Xenopus tropicalis: one gene and its partner. The protein of the gene in region 1 interacts with the protein of each later gene in a biochemical or structural test. Links are inferred from orthologs where the notes say so. Each region holds a gene or a part of one and is shown in the gene's direction. Other genes may lie near its edges. The genes, in order: arhgef12 and igf1r.

What was found.
Region 2: the proteins of arhgef12 (region 1) and igf1r form a complex in vitro, tested with the Homo sapiens proteins (2 studies listed by BioGRID and IntAct, with this or other methods). The link is inferred for Xenopus tropicalis from reciprocal best matches to the Homo sapiens genes ARHGEF12 and IGF1R.

What each region holds. Positions count from the first base shown.
Region 1 is NC_030683.2:78,844,513-78,848,342, reverse strand, and holds part of arhgef12 (rho guanine nucleotide exchange factor 12), read left to right. Parts: intron 1-1,798; coding exon 1,799-1,913; intron 1,914-2,215; coding exon 2,216-2,321; intron 2,322-3,578; coding exon 3,579-3,779; intron 3,780-3,830. UniProt on the Homo sapiens protein: May play a role in the regulation of RhoA GTPase by guanine nucleotide-binding alpha-12 (GNA12) and alpha-13 (GNA13). Acts as guanine nucleotide exchange factor (GEF) for RhoA GTPase and may act as GTPase-activating protein (GAP) for GNA12 and GNA13.
Region 2 is NC_030679.2:114,865,246-114,869,075, reverse strand, and holds part of igf1r (insulin-like growth factor 1 receptor), read left to right. Parts: intron 1-196; coding exon 197-323; intron 324-1,231; coding exon 1,232-1,470; intron 1,471-2,192; coding exon 2,193-2,360; intron 2,361-2,569; coding exon 2,570-2,774; intron 2,775-3,830. UniProt on the Homo sapiens protein: Receptor tyrosine kinase which mediates actions of insulin-like growth factor 1 (IGF1). Binds IGF1 with high affinity and IGF2 and insulin (INS) with a lower affinity. The activated IGF1R is involved in cell growth and survival control.

The sequences.
Region 1 (3,830 bases):
AGTCAGCAGTCGGGGCTGGAAAGAGTCACGGAGAGATGTTGCGGCTATAACTCACTGCTGGATTTGACAGGAGGCACGAACGATGGCAAGTGAGGGAGCAGGCAGAGCTGGACACGAAGGGAGAGATAGGACAGGAGGCAGGATTGCTAGTGAGGGAGCAGGAAGGGCTCGGAACAGAGGGAGAGCTATGACAGGAGGCAGGGTCACAAGAGAGGGAACTGGAGGAGTTAGGAAGGGGGGGGGGGAGAGAAAAGGTTGTGCTGCTATAACTGACTGCTGGATTTGACTGGAGGCACAATCGCAAATCAGGGAGCAGGGGGGCTAGGAAGGAGGGTGAGAAAAGATCCTGATCAGTCCTGTGAACCTCCTGTAAAATCCAGCTGTTAATTATACCAGCACAATCTTTTGAGTTCCAGCTCCCCTCCACTGAATATTTTTTATCTGTTCCCAGCACAATACTTTTCTGGTAAGGCATCCTAGTGATCCCTTCTCCCCAGCCCATGCCACTGCTGTGCCAATTTTTTCATATTTCATATATTTCACATTTTCTGTTAACCATTACCTTTTTTCCAATCTTGCTGTACCAGAAATATGTTTCCAAAAAGTTCCACATCTTACATTCTTTTATTCCTTGTTCCTCTGTGCCCTTATCCTGTCCACAATCTCCTCTACCTGTTTGCTCCTGCCATTCTGTCCTATATTTATCTTTGCTGCTTCTGTGTGCCATGCTGCCTCCCATCTGTATCCTCACTACTCCAGTGTGCCATACTGCCTCCCATCTGTACCCTCAGAGCTCCAGTGTGCCATACTGCTTCCCATCTGTATCCTCAGAGCTCCAGTGTGCCATACTGCTTCCCATCAGCTACACCTCAGATTTTCAAAAACTGGCAGAAAACATGCAGTGCCAGATTTCACACTAATATTTTGATATTATATAACATTTTAATATAGTGTATATTATTATTATTAAAAATTGTGTTTGCGCTACTGTTCACGTATTGTGTTGCTCACGAACAAGTTTTGCAGCTGAATGTTACTCACGGGGTAAAAAAGGTTGGGGATCCCTGTATTACCTATATTGTAAAAGTGCCACTCACCAAGGTGATTAAAATACCTTTGTTTCAAGAGCAGTTATAAATGATATGCAATGTAAATAACCTATTAAATATAACCATGACAGACTACAGCTGGTCCAGGGTAATATGTATAGATATGTGTGTAACATTTAGTAGTATATGAGGTGTGTGTGTGTGTGTGTGTGTAAGAGTGTTAATATATGTCTCCCAAAGGGGAAGACAAATATATCTCCATGTTCCAGAATATATGCCTGCCTTCATTGTTGCACCCGCCATCATGTATCTGTAAAAAGCAATAGTATATGTTAAATTAGTTTGTCATTATTACAAATTTACTTTCCAAAATTTGTGAATGATCAGGGCAGGTTCATACACTATGTGACCGATACTATTTAATAGAAACTATCTGTTGGTTAAGTATTCATTCTGGGGGTATAGTGTTTCTTATAGTTAAATGCACACCTACCATGGGATAGCTGAATAAGTGTGCTTGAGGACCTAAATAGATTTCATAGATCTGCATTCTTTGTATACTTCTTGTAGATTGTAAGCTCTTTTGGGCAGGGCCCTCTTCACCTTTTGTATCGGTTATTGATTGCTTTATATGGTACTCTGTATGTCCAATGTATGAAACCCACTTATTGTACAGCACTGCGGAATATGCTGGCGCTTTATAAATAAATGTTAATAATAATATACTGAAAAATGCTGTTTATTCACAGCAATACCATACAATATGTGATTCTAACCTATATGAAGCATCTTGGTGTGAAAGTTAAAGAGCCACGAAGTCTTGAACAGAAACGTGGTCGAATTGGATTCCTCCCAAAAATTAAGGTAAATTAAGATATCTTAATCTTCCAGTGTTTTATATTGTCCGCATTAGTATCCATTAATGTCCAGTAGTACCGTAAGCTTTATATGCAGTTAAAAAAAATCGATAAAAAAATCCATATATACAGATATGTATATGCATATACAGATATCTAAGTAAATTTATATCTGTGTATGTACATATGTGTGTATATATCTATATACATATATACAGCTATAAATCACATTTGCACTTTGATGAAAACACTAAAAATATTGTCTACTTATCTGAAATAAGCAAACCTTCTGTTTTGCTCTTGTTTTAGCAAAGTATGAAGAAAGATCGGGAGGGTGAGGAAAAGGTGAAGCGAAGAGGGTTTCCCAGCATCCTTGCACCTCAGAGGAAGCCTAGCCGACAAGATAGTAATGCAAGTACGTATAAATCCTACCAGTCACATTGCAAATTGTTGTCACTAATTATCTAAATATTCCAACCCAGGACCTCAGACTATATGGCTAATTTGGTATTCTCAATAACTGAATATTTGTCTGCATGCTAATGAGGATGATGAGTGTGTATAAGAGAGTGAGCATGTCAAAAACTCCTCCAGGAACAGTACCAATCGTTATATGAAGAAGCAGCATATAAATAACTGGAATTCAGAATAGAGTGATTAAATAATAATGGTTAGCTCTAAAATATAGTTGAGAAACATCTATAATATCTCAGCCTATGTTGGCAGGTATATCACTGATAACCTGTGATGCAGATACTGCTGTTTAAAGGGATACAATCTTTCATTTAAAATGTAATGTTAAGTAAATCCAGCTAAAAAATGAAAAGGTAGTTTCTCAGTTTATATATGAAAAATGTACATCCTTGCAGTTTCTTTCCAGTCAATGTTTCACTGCACAGAATGAGTCTGAAGTGTATATATGTGCCTATTTGCCATGAAAACTCCCTCTGTAAGGCACTTACAGAATTATTCTATGAGTTTATCAGGAGAATACTGCATATCTTTACTTGGGCCTGAATATCCAGTTGGACATTTACCCTTATATGAGCATATGTGCTGGTCATAGTAAGGTTGCAGTAACAACCAAATAAGTGCATATTAAAACTCCATACACAAAGCAGTTGTGTCCAGATTGCTACTTACTAATCTGAATTAGTAAGGCACAGTATTCAGAGGCACCAGAAGAGCCATGGACTTTACATCTGCACTTACAGCCTCCAAGCTTCTAATAGCCAAAATGTTTTAGTGGAACTGGCAAGTAATTAACAGGTATATGTTTAGCAGCTATAGAGTCCTATATTTGATTTCCGCATGAGCAGTACAGGTGTATATTCAAGGAGGTTTTACTTTCTCACCATACATGTTTCAGCTTGTTACTTCTGTTTCCTCATACAATTAGTTCCAAATAAATTAGACCACACTGCGTGTGAATAGGTTGTAAACTTCACTGGGGCAGGGAATTATGTAAATGGTGTATAACCTCTTTAAAACTCTGCAGAATATGTTGGCGTTATGTAAATAATCCATTTTGCCATATAACTTGTACCATTGGCATGAATATTTGTGTCCCCCCCCAACTAGTTCGCCAAATTAATATGGTTCCCGTTAGGGAAAAAATGATAGAAAAACTGGTTTATTAACACTTTTACGATGTCTTGATTTTTATGTTCAGTTGGCAGGGCTATGGAACTTCAGCGGCCACGCCACCCCAAGCACTTATCCACATCTTCATCCAGTAGCCCTGAACCAGCAGATGGAAGTAGATTGCGCACTAGCGGTGGCTCCATTGAGGGTTCTGACACACCGTTCTCTCCATCATCTAATTTGGGTGCAGCATACACCTTTCAGGAAGTTGGCAGAGAAGTGGAAGGAAGTTAGTACCTCTCTTACAAGACAAATTTATAAGTTATTTAATTGCTTATTT
Region 2 (3,830 bases), on another chromosome or scaffold:
AAAGCCGAACTGACACATGTTTTCCGATTTAGTAGGAAAGCATTCAGAGATTAGTCGCTACCGCGACTCGTGTCATTGCCCTAAAATCTACTTCTTGGGGGTTTTTTTTGTTTTTTTTTGTACTAAAAAAAATGCTTTATAGGAATTAACATAATGAAGTTTTTTCCCACCAATGTACGATGTGTCTCATTTACAGGCGAGAGTCACGTCTTAAATTTCACCTCCATAATCACAAGTAAGAACCGGATTAAGTTTACATGGGAGCGCTACAGGCCACCGGATTACAGAGACCTTATCAGCTTCACTGTCTACTACAAAGAGGCGTGAGTCCCACATTACAACCATATTCCTGTGGCGCTTGCACTTACCCAAGGATGAACTGTCAGTTAAAGGTTGATCTATAATGGTTTCCTCTAATAAAGGTGTAAAAAGCTAAGCATAGATTAAATTATAGTTAGTGCTGCTTCTTGGATATATATCAGCAATGCAGCATTCTTTACCATCTATCTGTTCTAGGTGTTCTGTCCTTTTATATAAAGGGCAGAGCAAAATGAGGTTTAAGTGATAATGCTCTGCAATATATTAGGCTAGGAATGTTGCTTCTTATGTTTTGTGCCAGCCTACAAAGCCATCACATCCCTTTAACACTGAATATATTTGTGGCTTGGAGAATGCTTTACATCTTTCTGCTGATTCACATGTTCTGGTTGTAATGTTAATCACCAGATCTAGGGCCCAGCTTATACACTATAAATATATATAAAGTGTGATTAGAATATTAGTCCATATTCACATTGCATAGTATCCTTAGACACAAGCGACTTCTGTATCAGAACAGGTTAATGATAAGACAGTAAATGTTTTGTCTAGGGGTACTAATGCTGCAGAATGGTTAGATGTCTAGTATTATCTAAATGGTGAAAAGATCTAGCAAGTAATTATTTTATTTATATATAACACATTTCCACAATTCTTTTCAAAAATTGTCTGTCACTCTAATCAGCCCCTTCCCCAGTGGAGTTAACAGTTAAATGTCCCTATGACATTCACATACAATATGGGCATTTTAATAAGTAGCCAGTTAACTGCAGTTTTCTTTGTTTCTCAGCTAAGCTTATATCTCTTGTAAGCCAAACAAAAACAACACAGCTTCCAAATTTCCAATTTTGCTGCATTTAGCTTTTAGGCTTTCCTCTGATTATGTCTCTGCTTCCTTTTTCTTACACTTCAGACTCTTCCATAATGTAACAGAGTATGATGGTCAGGATGCATGTGGATCCAACAGCTGGAATATGGTTGATGTGGACCTCCCAGCCAGCAAGGAAAGTGACCCTGGAATCCTCCTGCAGGGACTGAAGCCTTGGACACAATATGCAATCTATGTGAAGGCTATTACCTTGACCATGCTGGAGAGCCGTCATATTCATGGTGCCAAAAGCAAGATCATATATATACGAACAGATGCAGCAGGTATGTGTTCAGCCAAAGCAAATACATACCTATAATATTTATATGATGTTAAAGTGCTGGAATAAGAAGATAATGTTTTAGTTTAAAGGTTTTTTTTGCTTTCTGTCATTCTTGCAAATGCCTGGTTACCAAAACCAGTGACCCTACCAACAAGGCATTTGGTTGAATGCCAGAATAAAGCTTACCACCTAAATTGAAAGATAGCAGTAAGGTAAATCTTGTTTAGGAGGAATGCATGATTACACAAGTGCAGTATGTTACAGCTGATGGTAAAATTTAAAAGACTGAAAATACAGGGGAACACAGACTTTGTCAGCTCCCATAAGGCAATGAAAGGAACTTGTTAAAATTGATGGGAAATGGGTTCCAGAGGGATTGCCGAGCATCTCCAGGGTTTGCAGAACTGAAAAGACAATCACGCTGAGATGTATGTCACCCCTGTGTCTTTTTGCCTGGAGCATCTACACACCCTGCATGAGTCTGCAAACACAGTATGCACTCATACAGCTTGGGGATTCACCATCACAAGAAGGAAGCCACAGCCCATTGCCTGCCATGATTGTGACTTTTCTAGATTATAGCTTGACTGATGCAGAGTTTTCTGCCATGTTCATTTTGCAGTGCTTTGCTAATAGGGTATGTTATTCAGAGTCATATGTACAGCTTGTTCTAAGCATGAGGATGAATTCTAACATAATTGTTTTTTTTGTTTTTAATTCCAGTTCCTTCCATCCCCCAAGATGTGATCTCCGCATCCAACTCGTCTTCTCAGCTGGTGGTGAAGTGGAACTCACCCAGTCAACCAAATGGGAACCTCTCCTACTATATTGTGCGATGGCAGCAGCAGCCTCAGGACAGACACTTGTATCAGTACAACTATTGCTTCAGAGGTGCGGCGACTGTCACTGTAGCCTCCTGTTGTGTGTGGGAAGATTATTATAGTGGTGTGCAGTGCTCTGAGGGTTACATGTCCAGTATCTTCAAATGATTTCATGGCAAAGCAGCACTGGTGTTGCCTGTTTTTAAGCAAATACAGTACAGCTTTTCTATGCTGTCTTTAGGAAATGAAATGGTGTACATCATGTTATTTTGCTTTCAGATAAAGTACCCAATCGGAAATACGCCAATGGGACCATTGATACTGAAGGTGTGACAGAGCTGACAAAGCCAGAAGGCAACACAGGAGAAAAGGGCCATTGCTGTGCCTGTCCTAAAACCGAGGCAGAGAAAAAAGCAGAAAAAGATGAAGCTGAATACAGAAAGGTTTTTGAAAATTTCCTCCACAATTCCATTTTTGTGCCAAGGTAAGCAAGAGCGCCACAGCAATCACTATGTTACAATTTAACTGTGTGGGGTGTTTTGACCTCTATTGTTTCTTTTGTGAAGACTACCACCATCAAAACAATCAATGTGCCATAATCCATAAAGCACTCGCCATAAATTTTTAGCTCTATGATACTACAAAACAATGGCATAATGAAACGCTCAATGACTGTAGATACCAACTTACAATGTCTGTAATGAGTTGTGTGAATTACCTTGTTGTATTAAATTGATAAGACTCTGGTAAAGAACTTTGTGGTTTAGTAGGAAAGAGTGTTGAACCTGTGAACCATGTTTATTGATCTAACCTGTGATTTAAGCCACGCCTTGGAGCTTGAAATGGATCAGCTGTACCTTTGGGTGATACAAGGGATGATGGATTATGTAAAGTGCAAATCAGTAAGCCTCTCACAAGACAGCCAGTTGCTAAAGTCTAGAATACAAGAACAAGGATTGGGTCCACCACGTGCAGCTAAGATTCTTTTTCATAATGGCAACATTACCCTTCTGTTACCATAGACAGCATGTGTTGGAGTGTGATCCAGCTAACCGGATCACTTCATTTGAACTCGCCAAACAGGATCACAGTTGCATTATAGAATGTAGTGTGTATGACCTTTAAATCTGTGCCCTAGAATGTCTTATGAACCAGCTGAAATCACCATGCAGGGAGTCATCAGTGAAGGTATCCTAGTTTAGCCTCTTTAAGCCAATAGCAGAAGACCTCTTTCCTGGACTGACACTTTTTACCCCATTGTAGGTATTTGACAATTGTTAAAGTGGTCTGTTGACATGTTAATTCTGCCCTTTAGAGTGGACAGCTCTATTTGTACAACCCCGTCTCCAAAGAGGTTGGGGGAATGTGACAAATGTTAAAAATAAAAAGAGAATGTGATGATTTGCAAACCATTTAAACCTTTTAAGTAATAACAATAGTTCAAATACAACATCAAAAATGAGAAGTTTTGTTTTCTAAAAAACATATGTACATTTTGATGATGATGATGATGATGATGCCAGCAACACGTTTCAAAAAC